Lepisosteus oculatus: one gene and its partner. The protein of the gene in region 1 purifies or fractionates together with the protein of each later gene. This does not show direct contact. Links are inferred from orthologs where the notes say so. Each region holds a gene or a part of one and is shown on either strand. Other genes may lie near its edges. The genes, in order: macroh2a1 and ezh2.

The links.
Region 2: the proteins of macroh2a1 (region 1) and ezh2 purify together in Homo sapiens (affinity purification with mass spectrometry; 3 studies listed by BioGRID and IntAct, with this or other methods). This does not show direct contact. The link is inferred for Lepisosteus oculatus from reciprocal best matches to the Homo sapiens genes MACROH2A1 and EZH2.

What each region holds. Positions count from the first base shown.
Region 1 is NC_090706.1:23,557,648-23,565,791, reverse strand, and holds the start of macroh2a1 (core histone macro-H2A.1), read right to left. Parts: upstream 3,049-8,144; 5' UTR 3,034-3,048; coding exon 2,899-3,033; intron 100-2,898; exon of another isoform or gene 86-99; coding exon 1-85. UniProt on the Homo sapiens protein: Variant histone H2A which replaces conventional H2A in a subset of nucleosomes where it represses transcription. Nucleosomes wrap and compact DNA into chromatin, limiting DNA accessibility to the cellular machineries which require DNA as a template.
Region 2 is NC_090701.1:2,908,319-2,916,453, forward strand, and holds the start of ezh2 (histone-lysine N-methyltransferase EZH2), read right to left. Parts: upstream 3,127-8,135; 5' UTR 2,062-3,126; intron 1,813-2,061; exon of another isoform or gene 1,755-1,812; intron 1-1,754. UniProt on the Homo sapiens protein: Polycomb group (PcG) protein. Catalytic subunit of the PRC2/EED-EZH2 complex, which methylates 'Lys-9' (H3K9me) and 'Lys-27' (H3K27me) of histone H3, leading to transcriptional repression of the affected target gene.

The DNA of each region.
Region 1 (8,144 bases):
GGAAAATAACCCCAGCCTTCGCAGACCGAGATGTCTTTGTAGTCTTCTTCTTTCCTCCTCGGCTAGACATAGTGCTGTTGCCAGTCTGAAATTGTAGGTCTGGAGAAGTGAAAAAAACTCAATGCCACGGAAACTAATGTTCTGTTTACTCTCCTCAACATGTCTGTACAGATATTTATTGAAATACCTAACAAGAGCATTTTAGTGGGGGTAAAAACACTTTCACAGTTTCCGATTTAGCAGTATAATTTGCCAGCAGCTTTATGATCCTGCAACTCACAACTAACAACCCACTGATGCTAAGCAGGTGTGAGTCCTGTCAGTACCTGGATGGATGACCTCCTGGCAAAGCTAAGGTTGCTGCTGGAAGTGGTGTTAGTGGTGTCAGTGGGGTCAGCAGGGCGCACTCACCCTAAAGTCTGTGTGAGCACTAATGCCCCAGTGTAGTGATGGGGACATAGCCCAAGGGCCCAGTCCTTTGTACGAGATGCAAACACCGAGGTCCGGACTCTCTGTGGTCATTAAAAATTCCTGGATGTTTCTCGAAATAAGTAGGGGTCTTACCCTTGCATCCTGTCCAAATTTTCCCTAGGCCTTTACAAATCGTGGCCTCCTAATAATCCCCATCTATGAATTGGCTTCATCACTCTGTTCTGCTCTCCACTGATAGCTGGTGTGTGGTGAGTATTCTGGCATACTATGCCTGCCATCCAGGTGATGGCTGCACATTGGTGGTGGTGGGGAGTCCCCATTACATGTAAAGGTCTTTTGAGTGAAGTCTCCAGAAAAGTGCTATATAATTGTAAGATTTTAAAAAATAAATTAATGAATTATTATGATGATCATTATTATGTGTTGCAGACATACAAGTATCAAACACATTTTTCACAAAAAAGTTCTGAATTTTGTTCAGCATCTTAAAAAAAGATAAATTTAAGTTTTTTCTCTATCACCTTTTCCAGCAATAGCACAAGTATGTAAAATCATAATATACTTGTAGAAATATGGCCTAAATGTAAAACACAAGCAGCGCTTTCATTTATTTAAGAGGTCACAGTCCTGTAAATTGTGAACATTTTAGTTTAATTATATTGACCTTTTTAAAATAGATCTCAGTTAAATAATTTAAAAGAGAATGCGGTGGTTTACTACACCGGTAACAATTAGATACTGCTGTAATAAAATATGAGTTTAATTCCTATATACTGTAGATCACATTCTGACTGATCTATGTCTTCCTATTACAGGCTTTACCTGTCTGGCTTTTGTTTAGATGCATTTTAATTCTCTACTTCCTCAGGGGCACACTTGCCTTTCAGGTACAGGTTGCTAGGCAACAGCTTCTTAACTCCCAAATGACTAGTCTTTTGTTTAAGTGCCTCATGTGGAGTTTACAAATTACACCACTAATTTTACAGAGTAACAATAGATTACAACACATTAAGTAAAAGAAAATATTTAAAATGTGTCATATAACAACAATTATGATATAATAATATATAATAGTGTATACTAAATATCTAATTAGCAATAAGAGATTTCTGGAGGGACATAAAAAATAAAAACATCTCACATATGAGTTATGAAAGCAACGTCTATAATGTATATGCTAACTCGTCAGCAACGCAAACATGTCACTTCAAATGTAAATCGTGGGTTACAGATTACTAAAAGGGATTACTTCTGTGAGCAGTAAAAATGTAAATAGATTACTCACAGCTACAATATTGTAGCTACATTTAATACATGCAATACTATAGCTACAGATATACTGATTAATAAGACAGGAATTAGTATTAAAACACATAACAATAAGAGAAAAATAGAGAGGAAAACAGCTGAATACCAGGTTTTATATAAACATCAGTGTAAGGTACTTAATTAAAATTCCAGGGTCCTCGGAGAAAAGCATTTTGTGCAACATGAAGTAGATAACTGCTGTTTTTGTGTGACAGAAATGTTTTGTATTCAGGTATCACTTTTTTCAAGCGTCTTCAATTCTGCATGGTTTTTGAATGATCAGAATCACTGAGTTAATACACTTTATATAAAACGTTGGTTACTTTATTTGCATTCTAGTCAATGTTTTATAACAAATAAAACGTTATTATACAATTCGAAGAGGCCAAATATTGGTACCACATTCTAAAGTTAATACAGAATTAAAAACGGTATTACTATTATATTATAAAACGGTAAACACTGATTTTTTTGTTACTGTCACTGTCACTGTCTTTGGCTGTAGCAAATATAAAAATGAACATCAGAAATACGAATGTGCAAAGTGTACTACATTAACCATAATATTCTGTAGACACGAACTATTTTCTCCCCTCAGGATGTATAGCTAAAGGGTATTAAAAGTAAACAGAAAACATACTGTTCTATATTACCACTTTCTCATTTTTCACGTTTTTCCATCTTATGATATAAAGTATAATTAATATATAGATATTTATATGTTGTTAAATATGCATATTACATAAAACAAAAAAAATGAAATACTGGAAATAATGTCGTGTTAGAAACTAGAATGGTTCGGTTTCCGGGTTTTGAAATGTTACCATAAAAGAAATATACAAAATATTACCAAACATTAATGACACAAATAATGAGACAACAATCTGTGTTATACATGACACATGTTTTCTCCCGCAAAGATATTACGCAGCAGTATGCTTTTTGTTTTCATCAGCGGGGCTGCGATTCTGCTAAACATAAATGTAGCCTATAAATACAATTCAAGTCACACGGCCCTGATCTACAAGTAAAATGGGTAGACTGGGTTAAAGACGTGACTGGTAAGGCAGATGATGTTTTTCCAGAAAAAAAATGCGGCGTTTGATTTTTCAGGGCGAAACAGGTGTAAATTAATATCAAAGAATGTCAGTTACTTACAGAATAAAGCACAGCAATATGTCTACTGTCTCCTGCAGCTCCAATAAAACAAGCCTGGGCAGTGTCTCCGATTCCCACAATCCATAGCGACCTATCTATGTAACTGCTCTCTAAAGAGGAAGCAGTTACTAGCATTTCGCTGTAATTAACCGGAATCTTGATAAATGCTCAACAGCTGGTGCCGGTATTAATGTTTTGATTGCAAGTAGACTCAACTAAACACTTTCTTTCATGTACAACATTATTTAATTTGAATTAGAAGTAAGTATACTCTGTTTTATTGACTTTCGTTTAACCTTAAAATCGGTCAACAAACGAGGCTTTTCGTTGAGCAGACATAAAAGCAGGTTTCAAAGTCTGCCTTTATTGATCACAACATAGTTATGTTTAAAATAAACGTGTTTCACTTGGGCAAATAGTCTGCATTGCTAAGCAACAAAAATAATATTCAGGTTAAGTGGGTATTTGCGTCTGTAAGTCTGTAAAGCCTTAACAAATGCATAACGAAATACTGTAGTAGGCAATTTAAATGCAAAATTAACCTTGAGATTGAAGCTAAACGTCTTACAATGTTCTTTTTAAAATACAGTGTCTTTCTTTATTAAATGGCGTTGTTGAAATATATTTTAGAATACCGGACTATTTATAATGTAACGCTTACGGCCGACAGGCGCTGTGTAAGAGCCGGCGTACCAGAGCGGGTGACGTCACCGCCCTTCCCTGTGATAGCAGGACCACAGCTACTGGGCTGTGGAGAGATCTCTCTTTGGCTCACGGGGCTAGGTCGCTGCAGAGAGACGCGGAAGTCCCGGGTTCGAGCCCCGGACGGTGCAGGGGCCGACCAGATGCGGCAAGGGCGCCCGCCGGAGCCCCCGTTGCGTTACATTGGTGTCAGAAGCGGGGCGGGATAGCCCTTCGCCGGGGACGGCGATTTAAGCGGGGGAGAGTGTAACGCTTACGGCCGACAGGCGCTGTGTAAGAGCCGGCGTACCAGAGCGGGTGACGTCACCGCCCTTCCCTGTGATAGCAGGACCACAGCTACTGGGCTGTGGAGAGATCTCTCTTTGGCTCACGGGGCTAGGTCGCTGCAGAGAGACGCGGAAGTCCCGGGTTCGAGCCCCGGACGGTGCAGGGGCCGACCAGATGCGGCAAGGGCGCCCGCCGGAGCCCCCGTTGCGTTACAATAATTTATTGGACACTATTATTGAACCGCATTTTTAATTAGCATTTACGCCAGCAGGTGGAGACACACCTACTGGTGCAGTAAGACTAAGAGGCAGCTACAGTATAAGCGTTTGTGTTTTCCAATGTCTTTTTTCAATCCTCGGATTGCATACGGTAGAGAAGGAAATATATTAAACAAATATGAATGGGATTTTACATTACAATTTTTACAATTTTACAATTATTTTATATGATAATTATTTATATGAAATATTTAAGATTTTAATAGCAATGAATTCAACTCGAATTTCTTTGCTAAACCCTGCTGTCTCCAAAGTACAATTTAAAAGTAAATCTCTGGAACAGATACGACAAACAGGCTTCCTGGAGTGGCACTGGAGTGGCACTATTTTCTATTTCTTGACAGCTGTTTTCATAAATTGTGTTTAATACTTCCTATTTGATGCCCACAGGGGATTTCAGAGAATTATGTTAGAAGTACATTGCTAAAGAGGAACTAAAAAATAGCCCATTACTTGTTACAAATTTTATTCATTGTAGTATACATTTTAAAAAGAGACAAAATTACAAAACAAAATCTTTAAAAAATCAGTGAGTTGTCTTATGTTTGCAAAATATTACATTTGATTTTTGGTAAATTGGTCAAACTCACCTCACAATTCTAAGATATATTTTGTAATATCACAAATAATTTGTCAGAAAAGCCAGACATCCCAAACAGTTAATGTAAAAAGGAGATGGACTGAAAATCAAATAAAAGGTTTTAATAAACTTTTTGAGTAAGCATGATAATGAATTTCCATTCTGCCTTAAGACGTGATCGCTCAATTCATTAAATGGCTGATCATTTGCATCATTTGCTTGATCATTTGAAAAGAATATTTTCAATATTAAATGAAAAGATTTAATGGGGAATGAGTGAAGTTATAAAGTTTTATAACCATGATACAGTCTAAATTTGTCTACTCTCTAGGGGTTTCAGGTACAGAAATACAATCCTAACCGTACCCTTACACATATTGATTTATCCAATACAGGGGGAGCCAGAAAGCAACAGGTGCAAGGCACGATATAACTTGAATGGGACAGCAGCACATCATGGGGCACACACAGACACAGACAAACCAGGGCCAGCTCTCCCAGAAGCAAATTAACCTAGCAGTGTATCATTGGGCTGTGGGAGGAAACCCACACAAACACAGGGAGAACAAAAACCCGCTGACAGATTTGACTTTTCCAGTTTTGCTCTGATTCCTTGTGAATTTTCATCTCACTCCACTGGGAAGATAACACAGACCACAAACCTTTTAACTTAATATTAATAAGAGATACACTGACAAAATCTGGGAATAAAAGAACTTTGAAGAGTTTAGGGCAGCACAGTTGTTAGAATTGCTGCTTCACAGTTCTGGGAGGACATCCGCACAAACGTGGGGAAAACATAGAAACTCTACACAGATAGCACTCAAGGTGCAGAATTGATTCCAAGGCCCCAGCACTTCAAGACAGCAATGCTACCCACCATGTGACACCATTTGGCATTATTGACAAGATCTGAAGCCCCTCATCATAATCAGCTTAAGCTAGAGAACAGATACAACTTATGTGTACCCTCCACTGTACAACACAGGTTCAAGCAAGGAGCTGTGTCAGTGTATGAGCTCTAAAGGAACAAGTAGAAGATAATTCAAAGCTGGAAGTAGAATTATAAACAACAATACTGAACCTTTCTTCTTTCATTCTACCTGCCTGTTTATTTATGCTGAGCAACAGTTGACCAGCAACGCTACATTTCTTATTATCTTATTCCTGTTGGCTCTCTGAGCCTTGTTATACAGTAGGTGTTATATTGAATTCCAAGAAGAAGCTTGAGCTATAATGGCTGTAAAGAATCCTATGAACAATAAGACAATTCAGCATTTTGGTTGAATTATTTAAAACTACAGACATTTCTACAAAAAACTACAAAAATACAAGAAAACATTAATAAGAAACCTGATTAAGATATAGCTTGCTAAATATAATTACAGCATGATATTGTTTTATCTCTTATAAGATAGTTTACATATTTTACTCATACAAATAAAGATACACTGTATGGAGGTTATGAATTTAGAAAAACTATTTTAAAATGTGTTGCTCTTAATTATGTATAATGTATGTACATTATTTGGCTTATTTATGTAAATGTATTAATGAAATGTCACAGAATGTATTGTTTCATTCTTAAATCAGATTTAGTAAACTCTTAATGAAAATATTATTGTTATTAATAATAATAGTAATAATAATCACAATTTATGAATGTATAAAATATTAGAAAATGTATTTAATGACCTATAGTTATATACAGTAGCTATTATTTATTAAATGAAAATTGTATGCATTGTATAATAGAGTTTATTTAAATTTTTAAAAAGAATATTTTTCTCTCACAGCTATAATATTTGTTTTTGGAACTCAGAAAAGGTATTATTTACAGTTTCATGCCCCAGTAAATATTTTGGATCCCATGCCTGTTACTACATACATTCAGAACTATGTTACTAAAGTAGAGCAGTACAGTGGTTAGCATTGCTGTCTCATGGCGCAAGGCTCTATTCTGGACTTGGGGTGCTATCTGTATGGAATGTATTTGCTCTCCACATTTGGGTTTCCTCTGGCTCCACTGTGACCCCAAAATGGAAGAAGCGATTACAAAGTAAATGAATGAAAATAAAGGCTTTAGTAACTTTTATGGGGTTGATCCTTTTGACAGTGATGTTTATGTTCACTTTTTTCATAGACAGAATTATTCGATTTCTGGAGTTTGCTTCTTTCTACTAAAGTCTTGCTGTTTTTCACTAGCACTAAGTAGAAGAAGTTTCTATGAGATATTTCCATTACCTTTCTTAAAACTGAGTTATTTAATGGAAATTGTAGCTCAAAGGTGACAAATGTATTGAAGCCAAGTACTATCAGTAGGTATCACTTTCTTCATTGTACCTAAACTTCTAAACTTCTATGTCCCTAATTGTTTTGTTAACATGTGCTGTTGTTCTCTTTTTATAACATCCTATGAACTGTCAAATGTTGAAATATGAGTACTGGGCTGGTCTTAGCACATTTCTTTAAGTGTTCTTCAAAGTGATTTAAAGTAATCAATTTTATGTCACTACACTTCAGTATGGATGGCTATTCTCTTTTTAGATGAGTACTCTTCCTGCTTTCACTTATTGGAATCCCAGCAAATGCCATTGTTGTGGCAACATCTACACATGCCGACATGTGTGGCGTCCAGATCAGTCCAGTGGAGAAGGACAATCTTGCTTGGCATTGGTTAATGTTATCTTGATTGTGAGTCTGGGGATCCCATATTGCCCAGACTTTACCTATATTTGGAGAAACCAGTGCACTTTTCAGTGATCCTGCCTGCAAATGTTTAATCTACTTTTACAGGGTTTCCAGAGCAGTGGAAACCAGTTTAAATCCTCAGCTGCTTTAAATTCTTGAAAATCATTCCACCAATCTATGGATTGTCCAGCTACAAAAATAAAATATCGGCCATTTTGATGGAACTCAAAATTCTTCAGAAAGAGCAGAGCAGTCAAGACAGTTGTTGCTCTGGAGTCACTTTTCATCTTATTCTTTGGCCTGGAGAACACCTTTTTGTTGTACCCCTTAACAGGCAGCACAATATATTTTTTTCTCTGATACGACCAGCAGCCATATCACCCTGCAACTCACACCTGGCAACCCACTGAAGCTCAGCATGTGTGAGCCTGGTCAGTACCTGGATGGGAGACCTCCTGGGAAAAACTAAGGTTGCTGCTGGAAGAGGTGTTAGTGGGGCCAGCAGGGGGCGCTCACCCTGCGGCTCATGTGTGTCCTAATGCCCCAGTATAGTGACGGGGACACTATACTGTAAACAGGCGCCGTCCTTCAGATGAGACGTAAAACCGAGGTCCTGACTCTCTGTGGTCATTAAAAATCCCAGGGCGTTTCTCAAAAAGAGTAGGGGTGTAACCCCGGCGTCCTGGCCAAATTTCCCATCGGACTTTATCAATCATGGCCTCCTAATA
Region 2 (8,135 bases), on another chromosome or scaffold:
ATTTCAATTACTACATGCGGTGCAAAGACGAGCAATTTCCATCGACCCCCATTTCTTCTACATGTCCTTATCGTCGGCTTCTAAGGCACCGCACTTTCACATTAAACATGAGCCATACCCGAGAACACAGCTGGGGTGCGACTGATCACAAACATAATTCCCCTTCTCGGCTCACTCCGGCTGCACCGCTTCCTTCTCAGAAAGAGGGAGGGGAGACCCCTGTCCCCAGGGGGGACGCTGCTGCAAGCCCGACGGGTGGCTGGCTGGAACCTGACCAGAAAACAAGAAAGGCCCCGCCAGCCCCGACTCCTCCCCACCCACCTACAACAAGCAGCCGGGACAGCAGGCCTGCGCACCACATCACCGCTGCGGGACCAGAACCAGGACCAGAACCCTTCAGAGAGGCGGGCAGCGCGGTCCCGGAGCCCGTCAAGCCCAGGGGAACAGCCAGGACCGTCCCGCACGGCTGTGCGGCCGATTTCAGTCAGGGACCCATCAAATGGTAACCATTCGGGGCTCAAGAAAGACACGTAAGGAGGTGTCAGTCTTCAGCGCCGCGCAGAGCCTCAGAGCTCTGAACCGCGCGACCCCTCGCCCTCCTGAGGCGACAAGAGCATGAGTTCCTGGTCCGGCAGGGCCGCTGTCTCACTCTCCAGGTCTCTGCAGAGCTGGGAGTGGCGGGGATGTTGGGCCAATCAGGTGGTAATTGAGGTCTGAATGACAGCACACGCCTCCAGGACCAGGACACCCCTGACACCAAGACAGCCACGCTGGCCGCTCACTCGTAGTGCTCACCTTCTGTGTACAAATTCATCCAGTACTGCTGGCGTGTGGAAACAATGAGACAGTACCTTACCTTCGAATAATTTCTGAACTGAGGTACGTTTATGAATTCACAGATACATTCTTAAAAACATATCTATTCACAACTTAAAAAAACAGTTCACATTTTTTTTTACACTTAAACCCAGGCCACCACAACCTAAATGACACCACATCAGATTTACACTGCAGGCAGACTATCAGACGACCATTCTCCTTAAAAAAAAAACTGAAGAGGATGAAAGAGTGAAAAAAAGAGCACCTGGTAGTCTCAAGCCAAGCCTTCCACATTCGCCCCGATGACCCGAGGTCACGACCAGTTCCTTCTGATGGAGGAACATGGGAACAGCTCCGCACGCTTCCCCACATGGGGCTGCTCCGCACACATGGGGCTGCTCGCTGCCAGCCATCGAAAACCAACTCGCCGGGACGCTCAGCGCCCCCCAGGACATCGAAAAGCAAAGCAAAAGTGGTCCAGTGCAAACCCTACCTCCACTCACCTATTCCTAAAACCCCCGGCGGACCAATTCTTTAAAAAAGAAAACAAAACAAAATCTAACAGCAACACAAAGCAGGGGATCAGATTAAAATAATAATAATAAAAAAAACCCGTGTGCACTGACGTGCTGTCGCGGAGCCCTCGCCAGCCCGGGACACCACACACAGGTAGAGACAACGGGCTCTCACGACGCGCCGCCTCGCCGAGGTCAATACCGGGACAGCGGACTTCACCGACACGGCACGGCGCTCAGAGAGGACCCGAGGCGACACCGCCGGCGCCGGAGAGGGGGCAGACACACACACACACCCCGTGGGAGACAACACCGGGCGAAGGAGCCACGCACGACTCTCCCACCCGGATCCCACACTGCGCGGTGGAGGGAACCGCACGGCGCAAAACTTCCGCCCCGGTACCGCCGGCTCAAGCTCACCCGGACAGCGGCCGTGCGGACTCTCTCGACGACAACAACAAAACAACAACAAAAAAGTCTTCACCGCTCCGACCCCCCCACACACACAGGTCTGCACTCCAGCCCGCCCGAAACAAAAAGAAAGCCGTTTCTTCTTCTCCCTTTTCCGCCAGCCAGCCGAGCCGGGAGAAAGAGAGAGAGAGGAGGAGGAGGAGGAGGAGGGGGGAGAGAGAGAGAGAGAGCGGGGGGGTTAGTCGTGTGAATGGAAAAACGACAAAATGGAAACAAACCCCCCCCCCACACACACACATAAAAAAACCCCTCTCACCTGTCGAAGAGCCGACTCGACTCCTGGTCCACAGCCACCGGGGTACCGAGGCGACGACCCTCCCGTGGCTCCGGGACCGACCGAGGGGCGCCGGGTAAACGGCTCACACAAAGAGGCGCTGCCGGGGCCCGGCGGCTCCTTCCTCCTTTCCCGCTCGCTGGGCGCCCCCCCCCTCCCTGGCTCGGCAGGGCCGCTCCGCTGCGGCCGGCACTCGGTCGCCTTCGCCTCGGCACGGAGTCCCCTCGTCGCACGGCGATTTCCGCTCCGGCAGCTCTCCGCTCACCGCCCGTCGCCTCTGCTCGCTCGCTGTCCGCCCCTCGCTCCGCCAGACCGGGGCCTCGGCGAGCGCCAAACGCGGCCGCCAATCAGCGAGGAGGACACTCAGCCCCCCCAGTATCGGGGCATCCGAATGGCCCGCTGCCGCCGGGGAGCTGGCCAATCAGCGGCGGCTGTGCGGCAGGGGGCCCCGCCTGCGGGGACATGTGGAGAAGTTGCCTTTGTTCCTGGGCTTGTTCGGTGGAGTGCTGTTGAGGTCGGCGGTTGCGATGCTTAATTTTTTGTTTTCACTCAAAAAACAAAAACGAACAGTCATGCTAATGTAATCGACAGCCTCTTCGTGTTCTACGCCGTGGCATACGCAAAGCGACGCGTTCCAGCTGGTTTATTTGTGGTGCATCTTTGGATTGCAGAGAAATGGCCAATTGGGGGGGGCTGTTCTGCTCTGAGCAGATTAAAATATTTTTTACTATTAAATCGGAAACGTCTAAGCGTATTATATACGTCTCCCAGGATGTGGAAGAGCCGTGTCAAGGAATGGGGGTGGATATAAAAACGCTTTTGTCTCTTTCGCTCTTTCCTAGTTCAGTCACTTTCACAGCTAATAAAAAGTTTCACCAACTTCCACCCGTCCCTCAAATATACGGTTAACATATCTTCCACTGCTCTTCCGTTTCTAGACATCAACTTCTCCATCGACTATCCCCGACTGTCCACTTCAGTTTAATACAAACCCACGGATTCACACAGCTACCTCATGTACAGCTCATTTCACCCCAACCACTAAAAAAAAAAAAAACCTGAAGAAAGCTCCACGGCCGAAACGTTGTGTTCTCTTTCTTCTTTTTTTCAGCATGGAATAAACCTATTACTTGTTCCTAATAAAAAGTTGTGTGACTACACCTCTTGAGATGTGGAGCTATAACTATATCCGCCTCAGCCCTGTAGTTATGCAGAGCTGACGCCTGTTGACGAAATAACTTATAATGTCACTTACATAGATACGTGTCGCTTTATTTTATTCACTGGAAAGCACGGACCTTTTTTTTTTTTAAATGTCCTTCAGTTATAGTACCGGAATAGTAGAGTGTTTTGACAGAAGATAGTCGTTTTCTAATGATTGTTGTGCATTAACCTTTGTCACTGGAATCAATATCCAAAGGACTACTTTAAAGCAGGTTGAGGGGAAAAAAGAATGGAATTATACTTCACAAAATGAAAGGTCTTTGTTTATATTCTGTCCCCGGCGCATTATTTTCTCGCTTTAATTAGTATCTTACCTGCTGTAAAATCCCTCTTGAAGACACTAGTTTAATCAAAGGAAACTCGTGAAAAACAGTTGAACGCACTTTTCACGGTCTGAGGATCACCCCATCCAGTAGGCTCTAATGAATATTAGCCTAAATATAATTTAAATATCCAAACTGATCGGGCTCAATAATTATGAGAAACTGCTTTCTGCCCTTCCTGTACACAGCATGTAGAGACAACTCACACCTCTTCTGGACTTTTACCCGTGAATTAGAGACGATTTGAAATAGTAGATCAAACAGCTCAGTTGTCATCAACACTACTCTATCTCAAAAATACATTAAATGAAGTAGATATACGACATAAGTTTGGAAATAAATATTCAGTCAGCTTGCACAAATACACATAGCGGTGGATGTCCTGCAACTGTCTCAATTGGAGTGGTCTAAAGGTTTGTTCTCACATAATCATTTTTCTACCTTAGTGGGAGGCGTTTGTATCCGAACAAATTACCACTTTCCTACCAATACTGAGCTCTTGACCTCTAAATTTGACTTTTTTTTAAAAGTGAAAACAAAGCAAATATTTTCTTCTTTTTGTCCTGTGCCGACAGGCTGCCTCGCTACGTCACGACGTTACCGAGGTCTGTTTTCATCATTTTTGACTCCCATTCCCGGATTTCAGATTTGAACTCCTCGAAGTCACGTTCTTTAACCATCGTTAGACACCGCCATGTGCAGAAAGAGCTCTTCATCGCCGAGGGACCTGAGGTATTTCGACTGAACAAGTACGAGACTTCAAGCCCCGCCTGAGTGACTTTACAGAGCAGGGGCAGAGACGTTCTGTGAATCGCGTGTTCTTCTTTCATTTTTTAAATTAATTTAATTTAATGAGTTAATTTTAGGGTACTTTAAGATCCATACCGGCGCACAGAGAGATGGTAGGTTCAAACATGTCATTGTCATGCCATCGGAAAACGACAAGTGTCGATGTTTGGATGGAGTGCCTCTCAAGGCAAGTCCGGGCTCACAACAGTTATTATCTTTTGCCATATTGAAGGGTAGGGGTTATATTACTCTATGTGAGAAAGGGGTAGTTGTTTCTACAGTCTCGCCAAGACTCCGCGCCCTGTGATTTGCCGGAGCTGTCTGACAACACGCTACAAAGTCGCCCTCTCCCACGCCTGCCTGAAATCGAGCTCAGCTGCTCTCCGATTGGCTGACAGGGTCTCACCGGATCCCTCCCTCTCCTGGCATTGGTCTCCGGCCGCGGGCCACTCGCGCCGTGATTGGCCGGCTGGCGGTCGGCCCTCCCCCGCCTTCTCCTTTGAATGGGGCTTGGCGGGCCGGACGGGGGACACCGGCCAGACCGGACTTGCCGGGTCGGCGGAGCCGTGCGCGTATGAGATACAAGGAAGGAGACAGCAGAGGGAATGTCTGCCCATGGAGACCCACGGAGGAAAAAAAAAAAAAAGCACGAGGGAACAGCTCGCTAACTCCCTTCGGGGTGGACTGGGTTTCCTCTCGAAACCAGAGAAAATCTTCAAATTTAATGGAAATGAACAGCTGATAGATCCCCCCCACCCTCCCAAAACTACTCTAGAGTCGAAATAAATATCTACCCGTGATCAAAACTGTGCAAAGATATTTTTAGATTTGAATCTATTTGAAATATGCCACCGGAACAAATACCGAGTAAAGTCTAATTATCATCCACAATGAAATCGCTAATTTTCTGCTGCTATCTTACTACAGCTCCCTGCTGGCAGGCCCCTGGAGCCCAGCAGGTGTGAGCCTGGCCGGTACCCGGACGGGAGACCCCCAGCTGCTGCTGGAAGAGGTGTGAGTGGGGCCAGCGGGGGGCGCTCTCACCCTGCGGTTTGCGTGGGTCCTGATGCCCCAGTACAGTGTGATGGGACACTATACTGCTGCAATGCTCTGTGGACAGCGAAGGGCAAGACAAGGCACAGAGAGGCGTCGTGGCCATCCACCGCCACCGACTACTCGTACCGCCACAGGGCGAGGGAGTGGGACTGTCCCGGCGCGACAGCTTTCCCACTTCACGAAGCTCTCCCGCACGGGCCTCTTCTCCCAGACGGACGAGCTGTAGTCTTCCTCATCATCTTCAGGACCTGCTCCCAGACTTTGCAACTGCTTCAGCCCTTAGCGTCGTGAATTCCTCTTGCTGTGAAGTGCCTATTTGCTGTATCTATTTTGATATTCTGTCTCTTACGTGTCGTAAGACACCCACGCTGCGGAGCACCGCCTAGGGAGTACAGGAGAGGGAGGGAAAAGGGTTATTAATGACCCTTAGCATTTCATTCCTCATTGACGGGGTGTGCGCGTCCTGCTCTCTCCTCGTGTTTCACCGCTGCTAGAACCCGGAACGCCTCGCAGTGCGTCACATGTGAATTTTTTCCACGCCACGCCACGCGTGGGCCGCCCGCCGAGCCGCTTTGAAGTCTCTCCGCGTGGAAGGCGGCGGTCGTGGAGATGTCTTAGCTCGTGTTGCGTTTAATCGTGTTTTTTTTTTGTTTAATGCAGAACAGATAACCTCCCAGTAAAGACGATTAATTGCCTGAGATGTGTTACAGGATAACGATACCGTGATCACGACAGTTCAGGTACCTGCTGCTGCCCTTGGTCACTCTCCGCGCTCCTGATTGGTCAATTACAATTGCTCCTTGAGTTGTACTTGTATTTGTAAATTCTTTATACATGGAAAAAAAATTACAATTGTTACGTCGATTGCAAAGGTCTGTGCAGAACACGTGCTTTTAAGCTAATTGGTGTCTTGCACTTACTTGATCAAAGGCAGCTCGGGCTGCAATGCTGTGCTGAAACGATTGCGTTCACAAAATAAAAAGATGGTACGTTCACATACTCTCTCACTTTGGGTACCGAATTTAACTTTTCATTAAAATGTCTTCCATTTTCAAGGAATGTTCAGAAATGTAATTGGCGTGATCCGTTATTTACAGCACATGTTGCTATCGTTTAAAGCGTGACTTTCTGTATAATATTGCATTCATTTCTGAATGGCTAACACGTGTGCATTGAGCGTAATATAAAAAAAAATGCTGGAACGAGTATGAAAAGTATTTCCTTGTTTTGCATGGATTTTTCAGTTGCGGGGTAAATCACGCAGTAGCACGGAAAAAAATAAACTAATTTCATTTTTAACAGTATTTTGTCCTCATCGGCGCTGAAATTATTTTTTTTCAAACCGTTCTCTCCCCCCAGCGGTCAGGTCTCGGTATTGCAGCTGTAAAACTGGCAGCTCGCTTTGCGATTATATGTACAGAAAAAGTAGGACTGAAAGGTGTGGAGATCAAAGCAAAAGTAATAACGTTAATAACATCTTCATTATTTATTATGATTTGTTACTTTTTATTTTCACAATAAATTGTCTCATTTTGGAAAAATGCAGCCGGTTGATGGATTGGTTCATTATCGAGTGCAATGGTTTTATGCACAAATGCTGGAGGAGGGAGGTCATCTGTGCACAATGCGATTTGGACGGGCTAATTTGTCATTGACTTCCCCCCAATAATCGTCCGTCTTCTCTTCTGCTGGTCTCGAGTTGTCTAGTTGCGCGGCCGCGTGTGCCTGTAATACAGTTGCGTACGATTTGCATATCCCGTGATGCTTCAGTACGAGGCTTACGGATGGGGGGACAAAAACGAGCTTTGTCTTCGGTGTGTAGCGCTATCATTTTTATCTTCGCTTGCACTGAGCACTACATCTATCTGTAGGATAAATTAAGTGATTCTTAGTGCCATGATGTTTTTAATACAGTCTGAAGTATAGCCCTAGATCGAACGAATACTTAGCATTTGGGGTTTATTTAGGAATACAAGCGGATGGTGTAGTTGACTGGTCCGATTGTAGTGGGTTATCGCAATTGATATTTCTCACAGTCAGTTAACTTAACTCCTCGTTTGTTTCCCTTTCCCGCCCACTACGCAATTTGACTGGTCTTTTGCTAATTTTTTGTAAAAAAAAAGTGCTTCCCCACCCGCCTCCTCCTGTCAACAAATGACAATACCATGCTTTTCTGGGCAGTCGTTTTAAAGTAGAATCCCCCGTGTCATTTCACAATCGCACCCGTTCGTTTTAAACTGCATTTCTCGATCCAGTCTCTCTGAGGATGGTACCGTGATATCCTTCACAAGTACGGTCCCAGTAAACGCCAAACAAAAGTTGTACTTCCTAGAATTAAACATGAACAAGATGACTTATGTGTACTTTGTAGTAATGAGACGGATTCTTTGTTACTACATTTGTTTACTGCATATAAACAGAACTGTTTTGGGTAGATCTGCAAAATGTTATTGTTCAAGATTTTAAGGTAAATGTTAAATTGAAAGATTTTGATATTATTTAATATTTTGTTGGATCTGATTTGGATAAAGAATGTGTTTATTGTTAATCTGTTAATTATTTTGGCTAAATATTTTATCCATAAATGTAAATGGTCTAATACTGCTCCCTCTATCCATGCTGTTAGAGTTGAATTCCTTTAGAAATTTAAAGAATCAAAAGGCA